2 linked regions of the Stegostoma tigrinum genome follow. The protein of the gene in region 1 purifies or fractionates together with the protein of each later gene. This does not show direct contact. Links are inferred from orthologs where the notes say so. Each region holds a gene or a part of one and is shown on either strand. Other genes may lie near its edges.

What was found.
Region 2: the proteins of kdm6a (region 1) and paxip1 purify together in Homo sapiens (affinity purification with mass spectrometry; 6 studies listed by BioGRID and IntAct, with this or other methods). This does not show direct contact. The link is inferred for Stegostoma tigrinum from reciprocal best matches to the Homo sapiens genes KDM6A and PAXIP1.

Annotation. Positions count from the first base shown.
Region 1 is NC_081365.1:42,761,866-42,769,483, reverse strand, and holds the start of kdm6a (lysine-specific demethylase 6A), read left to right. Parts: upstream 1-4,542; 5' UTR 4,543-4,820; coding exon 4,821-4,948; intron 4,949-5,057; coding exon 5,058-5,121; intron 5,122-7,618. UniProt on the Homo sapiens protein: Histone demethylase that specifically demethylates 'Lys-27' of histone H3, thereby playing a central role in histone code. Demethylates trimethylated and dimethylated but not monomethylated H3 'Lys-27'.
Region 2 is NC_081355.1:142,821,408-142,829,596, forward strand, and holds the start of paxip1 (PAX-interacting protein 1), read left to right. Parts: upstream 1-5,000; 5' UTR 5,001-5,113; coding exon 5,114-5,206; intron 5,207-8,189.

The sequences.
Region 1 (7,618 bases):
AATTAAACAATAATTATAGTGTTGATAAAACTGACAAATAGTCATTATGTAATATTGTCAGGACTTCAACTAAAATATTTGATTTACTTACTACAGCAGTGATTGTACTATTAGTTTTTGCTTCTAATTGGGAAAGACACTGAAATAACATACAGTATTAAACTTCAGGAAAGAAGCCTGATGATATTTTTAAAAATTCATTCATGGGATGTGGACATCACTGGCTGGACCAACATTTATTACCCATTCCTAATTGCCCAGAAGGCAGTTAAGAGTCTAAGTTGTTGCTGAGTTTGGATTCACGTGGAGGCCAGAAAAGGTTAAGGACTGCAGTCTCCATCTCTTCAACATTAGTGAACCAGATGGTTTTTCCAACAATCAGCAATGGTTTCATGATCATCATTAGATTATTTACTCCAGATTATTAATGAATTTAAATTCCACAATCTGCCATGGCTGGATTTGAACATAGGTCCTCAGAACAATGGCTGGGTCTCTGCATTGATTGTCTGGTGATAATACCAACAGATCATTGCTTCCCTGTCATACTACTAGTGAGATGGATTAAGATTGATGGGAGCAAAAAACAGCGCAAACTAAAAACAATCTGCTAATTATGGGCCAACATTACTCAAGTTGAAGTAAAACTGGGCTTTGACACAGACTATGATAGAAAAGTGGTAAAGGGTTGAGGTCAGTGAAGCAAACGACAACATTGGCCTAGAATAATTACAAGGCATGCAAGGGAACATGTATCAAATTGTATCTGACAGTGCTCCTATTCGTTCCTTGGGGTGGTTACCCTATCAGCAGCTCTATGTACGCAGAAGTTAAAGTTAATCAGCAGGACAGGGTTAAACAATACTAATGGGGAAAAGATTAAAAAGAGGCAAATATGGACTGTTTCCAGTGTGGAATAGCTAACGTACACCTGCACTATTAAATGTATGACAAATTTAAAACTTATAACATTTATATGAAGAGTCATATCTGGCACTTGGTTATTTTGGTCATGTTTCTTGAATTCAGTTACCTCAGCTTTAGGATTTCTCTGCAAGAAGTCCTCAAGGTTGTGTCCTAGGCCTAACTATCTTCAACGCCTTCATCAATGACCCTTACTCCAATGAAAGGTCAGAAGTGGGGATGTTTGCCAATGACTGCACAACGTTCAGTACATTTGCAACTCCTTAGATACTGAAGCAGTCACTATTCAAATGCCACCAGATCTGGCCTTCATCTGGCAAGTAACATTCAGGCCACACTAATGTCAAGACATCTCCAATAATGCACAATCTAACCACCATCATTGATCCTGGGGTCAGCACTGACCAGAAACTGGATTTGCCAGTATAAATACAACAGCTAGACGAGCAGGTCAGAGGCTAAGAATACTGCAGCAGTAACTTACCTTTTGGTTCCCCACTGCCTGTCCCCCAATCTATAGGACACAAGGAAGGAATGTTGTCGGATACTCCCCACTTAACTGGATGGGTGCAGCTCCAACACCACGAACTTGACGTAATCCAGGACAAAACAACCTGCTTGATTGACACCACATTCACAAGCATCTGCTCCTCCATCACCAATGCTCAGTAGCAGCAGTGTGTACTGTCTACAAGATGCACTGCAGAATTCCACAAAAGATCCTTCGACAGTCCCTTCTTAACTTATGACCTCTTCCATCTCAAAGGAAGATGCCATCCAAGCCACTCACCATCCTGACTTATTGCTGTTCCTTCCTTGCTGGGTCAGAATCCTGGAATTACCTTCCTAAGGGAATTATGGATCTACCTGCAACACAACGACTGCAATGGTTAGAGAAGGCAGACCACCCTCTCAAGGGCAACTAGGGATAGGCAATAAATGCTGGCCAGCAAGTGTTATCCATATCCCACAAATAAAATACTTCCCTGCATTAAAACGTCCCTGTTCAAAGATTTAAGTTCCAAAGTCCTGCCCCATTTTTAGCTCCAAACATGTTCCAATTAAGTAAAACATTGTTCCCTTTCTGAGATACACCAGCAAAAACTTCAAAGAAAACAGCTAATCAAATTAAGTCTTTGTTTTATTCTTTTAGATTCCCTACAATGTGGAAACAGGCCCTTTGGCCCAACAAGTCCACACTGCTCCATGCAGCAGCCCACCAAGACCCATCCCCCTATAACCCACACACCCTGGAACACTATGGGCAATTTAGCATGGTCACCCACCTAGCCTGCACATCTTTTGACTTTTGCAGGATTGACTAGCGTTTATTGCCCAATCCCTAATCGCCCTCAATAGGGTGGTCCTGAGCAGTTTTCAGTCAGTGGTGCAGGTACACTTACTCAGCTAGTAGCAAGGGTAACCCTGAATTTTGTCTCAGTGATTGTAAAACTACTGCCCTTGTCCATCTAGGCAATTGAACTTTTAGGTCTGGAACATGCTATTGAAGGGTGATAATGATGACAGCTCCCCATTCCCACAGCAGGCAGAAGATCAAGTCTACTGGCGAAATATCTCTCACTAAGAACACCCCAGCAAGATACAACCATACAGACGGCAAAGTTAAATCACTGCCCACTGCCTGAACCTGATGTTTTAGTGTCAGAGATAATGGGAACTGCAGATGCTGGAGAATTCCAAGATAATAAAATGTGAGGCTGGATGAACACAGCAGGCCAAGCAGCATCTCAGGAGCACAAAAGCTGACGTTTCGGGCCTAGACCCTTCATCAGAGAGCGGGTCTAGGCCCGAAACGTCAGCTTTTGTGCTCCTGAGATGCTGCTTGGCCTGCTGTGTTCATCCAGCCTCACATTTTATTATCCTGATGTTTTAGTGGATGGCTACTGAGGCATTTCTAGCTACCTGTTCCCATTGTATTTTATACTGCTTTTGACATTCCTAGGTAATTTTGAAGAACAGTCAGCTAACCAAAATGTTAAATCTGCTTTCTCTCCAGATGCTGCCAGCCCTGCTGGGTTTCTCCATTTTATTTTGGATTTCCAACATCTGCAGTTCTTTGGATTATTGAAGTAATTTTGAAGTACTGTTTCTTTCCATCATTGGGAGCCACTGATCTGATGAATATTTCTGGTCTTTAATTTTATAAGTGTAGAAAAATACAACTGCCAATACACATACAGCAAGGTCCTAAAAAACTGGAGATAAATGCTTGACTGTCTGAAGTTTGCTGATACTGCCTACAGAATATTGCCAATTTCCATATGCTATTTCAAGGGCAAATAAAATAGGAGCATTCGCACAATTTATCTACGAAGTGCCAGCTAGTGTGGTGAAACCTTTGGAAGAGATTTGTTTTGAGCTGTGCCAACTGCCTCAAAATTACAACACAAATGCACTTTGCAAAAACTAAACCCATAAATACAGAATATTTAAAATCTAGATGCACTTTATGGAGATAGAGTATCCCAAGCCAGAAGTACAAGCTTCGCATGATAAAAAGTGGTACATATACCAAAATGAAAGCAAGAAAACAGTAAAAACACACTACTTCATAACACTTATCAAAAGAAAGACATGGTAAAATATGTTTAATATCTTAAAGAATATGCTTTTATACTGATTTGCACATGAATGAATAGATGGAGCATATCAAGGACGAGTTAAGGCTGAGGCCCACGAAATTACTAGAACAAGTCCATCTCTATCCTGCCACCCTAGGGAGGAAAGAGGAAGACAAAACGGCATAAAACTACAGTCTTGAAATATACATTTGGTCGTTTCACTTTGGCTGAATCGGAGTCTTCTGGGTTTACGTATATCTGACTGTCAAGCCACAGGGTAGCTTTTGCTAGGAATTAAAGACATGAAATTTTAGGGGAACATTGCCGATCGCCAGGCGCTACACAGGCTGGGAGCGACAGGAAGGCGCGGGGAAGGTGGTGGTGGTGGTGAGGAGAAACATCAAAAATTCTCCAGTTCTACAAGGCGACTCCCTTTGTAGCGGTCCCATTTTGTACAGCGCCATCTCTCGTGGTTGTTTAACGTAAACAGTTGGAAGTATGAATAGTAGAAATCTTTAGAAGTCACCAAACTGCAACCAACATCGATTTACTTTCAAGGACTGGGCAGGCGGGGTAGGAAACGGGAGACGGAATGCTTTTGTCACCAACAATTGCTTTGGTACCAGGGCCTTCAAAAGTTACTAAAAGAAAAAATCGGGTATAGCTGCCATCACGGGCATAATCAAAATAAAACCTGGCTAACACACCCAAACTACCCAGACACCATACATCTAAAGTTACACTACCCACCTAAAATGGAGCAAAAATAAAGTTATGCGCAGCGACCATTGATTTTATACTGCGACGAGCCCGAGCCTTGCTGACGTGTTTGAGAATTTGGACGATTGACAGTCACCACCGTCCAGTGGGAAGGCGCAGAATGCGGCCGCCCGCTGAAAGGGCGGCGAAGCGTTTGAGTTTGACAGCCAATTGGGGCCCGCAGCAGCCGGAAGGGGTGGGTCCACGCTGCTGTCGATCCCGCAGCACGGACTGACGTAAATCAACACAAAGGCACGTGGGTCGCGCTACCGCTGTCCATTGGCCGGGAGTGGGTTTGCTGTTTGTGCGCTTACGGCGTGGATTCGGTGTGACACAATTACAACTTTCTGCTTTGAAGTTTTTCTTTTTTTTTGCTAATATTATTTCAATGCTGTTTTAATTTTATCTCCCCCAAAACAAGGACTGCAGCACGTGCATGTTAGAAAAGAAGCAAGATCTTGAAGGATGTGAAAAAATAAAAACAACTCCACGGCAATAATAAAGAATAGCAAAAATAAATTGCAAACATTTTTTTTCATCTCTGTCTGTAAGCCCATGAAATCCTGTGGAGTATCATTCGGTGATGAGGAAAAGAAAATGGCGGCGGGAAAACCGAGTGAAATTGAGGATGACTTTCCAACTCTGACGCCCCAGGAGAAAGACTCAATTGCAACTCTCGATAGGTTAGAAAATTGTGCAAGTTTTGTGTTGTGTTTTTGATTAAGTTTTAGTGTTTATGCATAAATTAAAACATATTTTAACGTATGTCATCTGTCTGTCGCTATCGCACAGCCGAGTGTTTGGATTTCTGAAGGTTCATGAAGATGGCGCCAGAACGAAGGCCTTGTTAGTAAAGGTAAGAACTGAAAAAAAATCAGGCTATTTGTTTTGTCCTTATGCATTTTGGTACTTTTATAGTAAAGAAGGAGACATACGTTATCTGACCTCTATCAATAAAGCAAGATTTGTGGAAGCGTTCCCATTTCACGGAGAGTAGGCTTGTCTTAATGAGGGATTTTCCTCTATAATATGTATACTAACTTGAAAAGCAACGGTGCAGACAAGTAGAGACGTTTGCAAATCATTGATCGTCAAATGTGTAGGACATGTCTTTTCGTTTTTGTATGTGGTACATTTTTCGCTTGCCCCTCTGTGCGCCCAGCCTCTCTAGCCTCCAGGCTCTCTACTATGGGTTTTGTGTTGTGTATGGGTTGAAGTTTCGCTCCGCGTTAAAAATGGCTGCTTCTCTCCAAGATGGCGGGATAGGGAGGATAGAGGAAAAAATAGTGAGTGATTGGTAGGGGAGGGCAACAACAAAAAAAAATTCGGGCCAATTTAGTCAGTAACAGATCTGTAATCGGCATTGTGCAATGTGAAGAAAATTAAGTCCAGAAAAAAACGCTTACTGACAGGATTGTTTTTCCTTTTTATAAGAAAAATACAAAAGTGATTCACTCAACCTGTAGCACCAAGCTGTTAAATGTGAAACATTTGTGGCTCGTACATCCAGAATTTGTGACATTTCATTAAACGTACATCTTTTAAGTCACATACATGTTTATCGGTTGCAGTTGCTCAGATGACGGGGCCATACTTTTTTCGGATAAACTTTGTGTATATATAAATGGGTATTTGCTGGATTCTAATTATTTATACTGCAGAATACACGTTTTCAGAATTAACTTATCGTTTCCTCTTATGTACGTTGTGAAGTCTGTTAATGTTGAAAATTTTTGGCATGTCCAGTCTCTCCAGTTTTTAATTACACACTTGAAATGCTTCATCGTGTTTGGAATTCAATGTTCATGTTTTTAATCGGGTGGTGGGGGTAAAACCCGAGTTTACGTAAGAGTTGTAATGCTGTCTGATATGCTCCTATCGAGTTGTAATGGCTTCCATTAGATTTTACATAAACTGTTTTTGTTTCAGTGTATATTTGTAGCATGTTGATTTTACTCAGACGTTACTCGTGTATCATTATATGCTTATTGTTTGGGAAGTATCACCAGTTTTTCACGCACTAGATTGAGGTTTTGAGTGCCATCTTTCAACTGCAACATGGTACAATGATATAGCTCATTAGTTTTAAATAATTTTAATTGTCAACACAATTGCTGTTGTGAATCTAAGCACGAAACAGTTACCTGCCTATGATAGCGGTGAGTCAAAATTTGGCAGGTTTGTAGGTTGGACAGCATTAAAGTCTAGTAGAAAGCATTTGACTTTGAAAGCAAATTCTGTTTGGCAGTTTATTTTGAGACTCCTTAGATATGATTCATTATATTGAGACATAAGCCAGTCAGTAGTGGATGCAAAGTTAAATGTCTTGTGTGTTGACAAACAAAACTCCCCCAATATTGATGTTCTGGATTAGGAAACAGTAATGAAGTTTCTTAGACTGCCTTGTCAGTCACAAATCAGGTTCTGAGTTTGATCTTTGAATTCGTACCAAACATACTGACAATCAGAGTTGAGATGGTGATGGGGCGTTGTGTATATATTTGAAAATTGTCCTAAATCCAAACCTTCCAGTGAGTCTACATGAAAGTGTGTTCTTTGGATGTCTGATGAGGAATGGATAGAAGCTGTATTGTGATTTTGTTAGTCATACGTTTTGGCAAAGATATTCCCTTCCAAATCATGTGCCGTCCTGACTCGGAAATACTCTGCAGTTCCTTCTTTATCACTGAGTTAACATCCTGAAAGCCTAACAGCATTGTTATCTACCTTTACATTGATTAATTGCAGTAATTCAAAATGACTTACCATTACTTGAGAATAATTTAGGAAAAAGCAGTAAACACTGGCTTTGTTAGTTACACCTACGTCTCATTGAACCAAAAGAAAATAATTGCTCAGACTTGCACGTGAGGAATGGTGTCAAAATGCTCCCTTGGAATCTGTCTCCCCGAATGGAGTACTTGTCTTAACAGTAACTGAGAGAAATAATTATTTTAATAAAACCAGTTAGAATTTTACGTAATTGACTAGCTGCATGTTCAATACAAATTTATCATAGTTAATAAATTGTTGTTTAGTGAATTCCAAAATAAGCTTCTCCTGGTAGACTAGTCATCCATCATTTAATTAGTTGACCAATATTTGGAACTTAATGGTCAATGTGTAATCCTAATCTTCATAAGTAACCTGTTGTAAGTAGCTGTGGCTAAGCTTGATTCAGATGATATGAGTTTACTCATAGATCTTAAAGTTGTCATTTTCAATTTTGCAGAGTTTAGATGGATCTTTGAAAAATAGCTGGCATTTCCATGCATACTTCATTTTTTTTAAAAGTTTGTTAATATTTCCAAAGACTTGTAATAGCTCCTCAATGCACAATATCATACTGATAG
Region 2 (8,189 bases), on another chromosome or scaffold:
CTGCTTTGATGGTAGGCAAACTGCAAGGGATCTAGACAGGTTGGGAGACTGGTGTTGATGTGGGCCATGACCAGCCTCTCAAAGCACTTTGTGATTATTGAGGTCAGAGCCACTGGGCAGTAGTCATTAAGGCACCTTACTTGTGTTTTCTTAGGTAAGGGGATGATAGTGGTCTTCTTGAAGCAGGTGAGGACTGTGGCTTGTAGGAGGGAGAGGTTGAAGATGTCAGTAAATACCTCTGTCAGTTGGTCCGCACAGGATCTGACTGCACGGCCAGGGACTGACCATAATACCACTACCTCCCCATTGATGGCATTTATGTGGAAGCCGGGTGAAGAAACAAGTTTTTACTTATGCATTGATGTGTATTTGGACTTGGGTGGCAGATGTTACTGGCAGGACTGAGCACAATCTGTTCTCCCCCTCTGCCTCTATCACACAGCTAAGCTTCTGTTGAGTTGTAAACTGGGTCAACCTCCCTGCAAGTGGGCAGAAAATTCTACACTGAATTTTGACAGCGATGTTCCCAGAAGGGAAAGGAATATTCTATCTACATCTTAAAACATTGAATGGCTCAGGAACCAAAAGCATTTAAAATACTACAGCTGATCAAACTATTAGCCATACGCGGGAATGTTTCTTATTTCTCTGATTGGGTCAGATTTACCAAGAACTACTTTTGATCTGCCATTATGTGTTTACAATTTGAGTGCACTTGTTGGATCAACTGGTCAAGTTACTTTGCAGGCTAAACCTTGAATCCACTAGGTGTTTTGAAGAAAGAGTCACTGGACACAAAATGCTAACTTCGCTTTCTCGCCACAGATGATGCCAGACCTACTGAGTTTTTCCAACAATTTCTGTTTTGGATCCTGATTTTCAGCATCTACAGTTCTTTGGGTTTCTTGTATACTGTAGTGATTGGGACCAGTTGGATCTTGTTGACTTCGAGATCCTTGATTGGGCTAATCAGGAAGCCCTGGCTGACTAATATAACCAGGGGATTTAGAATCTCTTCAGTTCGGGGGATTGACTCCAAGTTGGCTGGCCACAGCCAGTGTAGTGCGCACAAGTAAAGAAAGGGTGGCTTGGTGATGGGATACTGGCATCTGTGCTGCTGTTTCATAGACAGTGGAGTTTCGTCAATAAATGACACTTTGATTAAAAAGTATAAGATCCTAAGGGATCTTGGTTGCAAAACAAAGGGGCTTGCGGGAGGACTTGTGCACAACACACAGAAAGCCAGCACACAGGGTGCAGCAGGTATCAGGAAGGCCAATGGAATGTTGGCCCTTACTTCAAGGATATTGGAATATAAAAGTGGGGAAGTCTTACTGCAACCATACAGGGTGCTGGTGAGACCATATTTGGGAAAATGTGAGCAGAGTTCATCCCCTTATTTAAGGAAGGATATCATTGGAAGCAGCTCAGAGAAGGTTCACTAGGATGATGACATAATGGGAACTGCAGATGCTGGAGAATTCCAAGATAATAAAATGTGAGGCTGGATGAACACAGCAGGCCAAGCAGCATCTCAGGAGGACTCTGATGAAGGGTCTAGGCCCGAAACGTCAGCTTTTGTGCTCCTGAGATGCTGCTTGGCCTGCTGTGTTCATCCAGCCTCACATTTTATTATCTATTCACTAGGATGATCCCTGGAATGGAGGGATTGTATGATGAGCAAAGGTGAAAGAGGTTGGGGCTCTTCCCCATGCAGATTAGAAGACTGACAGGTGATCTCATTGAAACATATTGGATTCCTAAGGGACTTGACAATATAAATGCTGAGAGGATGTTTCCCTCATAGGGGAGTCTAGAACCAGACGGCATTGTCTCAGAATGAAGGGGTGCAAGATTAGGACTGAGAAGAGGAGGACATTCCTTTCTCAGAGGGTTGTGAGAGTCTTTGGAACTCCTTACTGCAGAGAACTGTGGGGGCAGTCTTTGTGTATATTTAAAGCTTAGATAGATAGATTCTTAACTAAATAGGGATATCAAGGCGTATAGGGAAGAGGCAGGAAAGTGGATGTGAGGATTTTTTTGATCAGCCTTAATTCTATTGATTGGTGGATCAGGATTGAAGGACTGAATGACCGAATGTTCCTATTTCTTATGGTAATGTTGTTGTAGAAAAGGTGTATCCTCTTGTGGAAGAATCAAGAAATATTCATCACTGAAAAATGAGGAGTTACCCATTTTAAGCAAAGATGATAATTTTCTTCCTAACAGGAGTGAGAGTCACAGAATCTCTACAGTGTGGAACCAGGCCATTCAGCCCATTGGTCCACACCAACGCTCCAAAGGTTATCCCAACCAGACCCTGCATTTGCCACAGCCAATCTGTACAACCTTTTTTTTTAATTAACAGGAGGAGGGTATCACTGACCTGGCAGCATTTATTGCCCATTCCTGATTGCCCACAGGTAAGTTATGAGTCAACCACATTGCTGTGGGTCTGGAGTCACGAGCAGTCCAGACCAAGTAAGGATGGCAGCTTCCTTCCCTCAAGGGCATTAGTGAACCAGATGGGTTTTGCCGACAATTGACAATGGATTCATCATTAGATTCTTAATTCCAGGTATTTCATTGAATTCAAAATCCACCATCTGCCATGGCGGGATTCGAACCTGGGTCCCCAGAATGTTACCTGGGTCTCTGGATTAACAGTCTAGCCATAATGCCACTTGGCCATCACCTCCCCCTGCATATCTTTGGACTGTGGAAGGAAACCAAAGCACTCGCAGGAAACCCATCTGAAAACTCCACACAGACAATCGCCCAAGGTAGGTATCGAATCCAGATCCCTGGTGCTGTGAGGCAGGAATGGTAACCACTGAGCCACCATGCCACCAGTGATGAGTCATGGATGTATGTTCCACAAAAGGCATTGCTTACAAAGTCCTTGAATATTTTTTAATGTTGAGGCAGACAGATTCTTGATGAGACAGTGGCTGGAAGGGATTGTGCAGCTATGAGTTCAGCTGTAATCTTATTGGATGGTGGAGGAGGTTCAAGAAGCCAAGTGGCCTATCCTAGTTAGAGATAGTAGGAACTGTGGATGCTGGAGAATCTGAGATAACAAGGTGTGAAGCTGAATGAACACAGCAGGCCAAGCAGCATCAGAGGAGCTGGAAAGCTTGACGTTTCAGGCCTGAACCCTTCTTCAGAAATGGGGGAGGGGAAGGGGATTCTGAAGTAAATAGGGAGATGGGGGAGGTGGGTAGAAGATGGATAGAGGAGAAGATAGGGTGAGAGGAGACAGACAGGACAAAGAGGAGGGGTTAGATCCAGTGAAGGTGAATGTAGGTGGGGAGTTGGGGGGATAGGTCAGTCCAGGGACAGGTCAGGGTGGCGGGATGTGGTTAGCGAGTAGGGGATGGGGGTGGGGCTTGAGGTGGGAGGAATCGTTAGAGAGTTGGGGACTAGCTGGGCTGGTTTTGGCATGTGGGCGGGGGAGGGGAGATTTTGAAGCTTGCAAAATCCACATTGATACCCTTGGGCTGAGGAGTTCCCAAGCGAAATATGAGATGCTGTTCCTGCATCTTTCAGGTGGCATCATCGTGGCAATGCAGGAGGCCCAGGATGGACATGTCGTCCGAGGAGTTGGTGGGGGGGGGGGGGAATTGAAATGGTTCATGACTGGGAGGTGTAGTTGTTTGTTGCGAACAAAGCACAGGTGTTCCGCAAAGCGGTCCCCAAGTTTCCGTCTGGTTTCCCCGATGTAGAGGAGGCCACAACGGGAACAGTGGACGCAGTATATCACATTGACAGATGTGCAGGTGGCCTATTCTAGTGTTTACTTAGGTTGGTTTCAGGATAAACTTTACCTTGTTAAAACCTCAAAGAAAAATTACCTGGCTAATTCCCTAAACAGGCAAGCAAATTTTCCAGAGGGTTGTTAATCTATGGAGTTCCTTGCCCAATGAAGTAGTTGACGTTACTTCAGTAAACATTTTTAAAGCTACGGTAGATTTTTTTTGAACAATAGAGGAATTAAGGGATACGGTGAGAGTGCGGGTAAGTAGATCTGAGTCCATGAAAAGATCGCTGATGAATGGTCTAGGACCGAAAAGTCAGCTTCTGTGCTCCTGAGATGCTGCTTGGCCTGCTGTGTTCATCCAGCTCCACACTTTGTTATCTTACAAGAGTTCAGCCATGATCTTATTGAATGGCGGAGCAGACTCAAAGGGCCGGACAGCCTACTCCTATATTGTAAACAATAACGTCAACTAATTAAACCGCGCATGAATGAAAATACTTTAAGAAAAATGAAATGAATATTTTGAAGTCAACTGCAGGAAGCATATACCATAACTTTAAAAAAAACTTGCCTTGTCAAAGAACATGAAAACCCTTTAAGGATTGGGAAAAAGAATTACTCTGGAGAAATATTTCCCTCTCCCTGTCTGTTTGAAACTGCCAGACCAAGGAAGCAGTCAAACTCTTTGCTTGGGATTCCAGAGGCCAGATAACGTTACGCTCATCTTATTTTGAGTAGGGGTAAGTATCATCACAAGCAGTTTCGTTTTATTTTGGTAAGCCTGATCCTCGTGTTGGTAACTGGGTGTCGGCATATTTACAGGTAATGAACAAACCCTGCCCCAAATGCCTCATGCCTCAGCCTTCAGTTTGTCAGAAACCAGAGAGCTCAATGTTTGCAAAGTGGCAACATTTCCCGCGTTATTTGTAACAATCGCCGCCTGGAAATCGCGCGCGCTCCCCTGTTCCACCCAGGCCCCGCCCATTGCAACGCGGACCCGACCATCGCTTCAGACAGGGGTCCGTGGAATGGAGATGCCCAAGTTATCAGAAAAATAAAGACAAATAAAGAACAAAAAAGCACCTGTAGATGATTAATTTAAATATATATTCTACCAAATTGTGCTTAATGATGGATATCGGGTTTGAGTGCAGGGTGATTTCAAATAGATTAGGGAATCCCCCTTGCTGTTTTAGGATTGTTCTGGTGGGGTTCCCCGTCCGGCAGGGGAGGAGAGGTGCGCAGGCGCGGGCTGCTGAATGTATCGAGTGGGATCTCCGGGGATAGAGGTAGGGAAAGGGGTTGGGGAATAACCCGTACCCAAGCATCAGCAGCCCCGGCTCACTCACCGACATGTCGGAGACACCGCGCAGTGAGGAGCCGGCGGTCACCCCGGATCTGTTTAAGGAGGTGAAGTTCTTCGCAGTGGGAGACATCGATCAGCAGGTGAGGAAGGGGAGGAAAGGCCTGGAGTGAGGCAGGTGTGAGGGTTGGAGGGAGAGGGGATTGAAGGAGTGGAGAGAGAGGGATTGAAGGACGGGAGAGAAAGGGTTGAAGGTTGGAGGTGAAGGGTTGGAGAGGTTTGAGAGTGGAAGGACTTGAGAATTGGAAGGAGGGAGTGAGGGAGCTGAGCTGAGGGGAGGAGGAGGAGTGAGGATTGGAAACAGGCAGAGGGGTTGAAGGTTAGAGAGTTGGGGTGACGGGTTGAAAGTACAAGGTGAGGAGCTGGTGGGAGCAGGGAAGTGAGGTTTGGGATGAGGTGTTGAGGAAAAGGGAGGCCCTGGCTTTGGAGTGTGTCTGTTCCATCTTCTTGTCCCTCTCCAGAAGGTGACTGACATCCATGGTGCCAGCAGCCTCGGCCTGCAAGCTGCTGCAGCTTCTCGTGGCCTTCTGCAACTTTTCAGCATTTGACCTGGAAGTAGATCATTCTTGATGTCTTTTTACTAGCCAGTTTATTTTAAATGTTGTTTGTGAACCTGTGTGTTTTGTGTAATTGTTTTTATTTTCTCCCTTGTGCTCTGGGTGACATGCCTTTTGTGTGTGTGTGTGTGTGTGTATGTGGTTGTGTGGACGACCGCCTGGCTTTGCACTTCCTGCCGTACAGTAGGCCCTTCCTTGTAATCTCTGCCTGAGGAATTAGTTCCCTGTTGTTGCTGTAAGGGCTGGCCTGATAACAGCTCAGTCTGGAGAGCTGGGGTACCTCAAATCAATACTGTTAAGTGTGAAAGACTGATTTGGTTTATATCTCTAGCACTGTAGAATTATTCTATTCAAGTGAACTCTCCTTCCTTTATGCCTCAAATTGATGGGAAAAGTATTTGGAATGAAGTTTTTGAACATCAGTGTTTGTGTTTTGATTCTTTTGATTAGTTGTGAAATAAAAACTGTTTAAAGTTATTGTTATGCTGTGATTTGACAGCTGTTGATGAGTTTATTCCCAAAATATATGAAAAGATAGAAGTATTAAGCAGAGGCTTTGAGGGACTGAGAAATAGTCTTATCAGGGTGATTAGGTGTCGAGCCAGTGATGAACCTGTGTGAACATTAAATGATGAGATTGTTTCGTAATTTGCAAAAATCTGTTTTGCTAGCACTGAGTTGTATCCATCTTACATATTAGATGTTTGTGAAGGCTTTGTTTATTTCTATCATGTGTTTGGTATTGCCATTCAGCATTTGTATTCATCATGATGATCCTGTCTGTGGTTTAAACTCTATAACCCTGTCCCCCTTGTTGATCAAAAATCAGTGTAACTCTGCATTTGTCTTTGTTATGGCCTCCACTGTGCTCTGTGGGAGATAATTTTAAAAGCTGCTTCTGGGGTAACAGCGATGTAGGACCTGAGTTTCTCTGATCAACTTGCTGTGTGTTTGACCACAAGAATTGCTTTTAGCAAAACGAGTTCGCTTGCCGAGTGATCAGCCAAATAATCATGGATCCTCAGTAATACAGCATGGAAATAGACCATTCAGTCCAACCAGTTCATGCCAGCCATGTTCCCAAACCAAACTAATCCCACTTTCCTGCATTTGGCCCATAACATGCCAGACCATTCCTATTCATGTTTTTGTCCAAATTAATTTTAAATGTTGCGCCCGTCACTTCCTCTGGCAGTTCATTCCACAAAGAACTACTCTGTGTAAATAAAAAAAGTTCCCCCTCACGTTCTTTTTAAATCTTTGTCCTCTCTCCTTAAAAATATGCCACCTAGTTTTGAATTCCCCCACCCTAGCAAAAGTCTAAAGGCCTTTTGCTATTCACCTTATCTATGCCTCTCATAATTTTATAAATCTCTATAAGGTTACCCCCGAACCTCCTATGCTCCATTGAAAGAAGTCGCAGTCTATTTTTATAACTCAAACCCTCCATTCTCAGCAACAATCCTGGTAAATCGTTTCTGAATGCTCTGTAATTTAATAATATCCTTCCTATAGCAGGGCGAACACAACTATCCACAGTATTGCAGAAGAGGCCTCAATTGTCACCAATGACCTTGCTTCCATAGCCTTGCCCTTCCCTGTCTTTGTCAACTCGGAGTCCTTTGTTTTAATGTTGTCAGAGACTGTCCAGGTCCTACGAAGCTTCTGCCATTCCAAACTGCCATCAACATGCATAATAAATTGCGGCAATTCCTGGGGCAATTTATGTGAAGGCATGACACTGAAAACATTCTTTGTGAAAGTTGACATTGCTCCTGATGGTGATGTGCTTCACTGCTAATTACATTCTGAATAAGATCAGAAGAAACAGGAATAGGCCATTCAGCTTTTGTATTCATCATGACGATCCTGTCTGTGGCTTAAACTCCACTTTCTGCCTTTATAACCCTAGTCCTCGTTGTTGATCAAAAATGTAACTCTGTCTTTGTTATAGCCTCCACTGTGCTCCATGGGAGATAATTTTAAAAGCTGCCTCTGGGGTAACTTTATTGATCTCATCTTAAATGAGAGACGCCTTATCTTGAAACAGTGCTCACTCCCCAACAATTCTAGCCTCCTTTCAACGGGATGCTGTCAAAAATCAGTTACCTAGCCAAGCCCATTCAGCATCTAATGTTTCATAAGATCACCCCTCTGAGGCACCAAGCTGTAAGCATCCAGCCTGCTCAGCCTTTCCTCATAAGACACTCTCCTTGTCAACAAATTATCCAATTAAATCTTTTCTGAGCTGTTTCCCATCCTAGAATATCCCTCCTGAAGTAAGGCCACAATTGTATCCGGTACTCCAGGTGCAATCTCACCAGTGTCCTGAGAGCAGAGGCAAAACTTTCCTACTTTTACGTTCCATCTCCCCTGCAGTAGGAAGTTGCTTTGTCGCAGTGCAGTAATGTTGTTCTCTACTATTCTTGTCAAACCGGGTAACCACACTTTTTCCCCACAATATTGTCTGATTTTCACTGGGTGATTTTTGTTTTAATCCTTCTCTTTC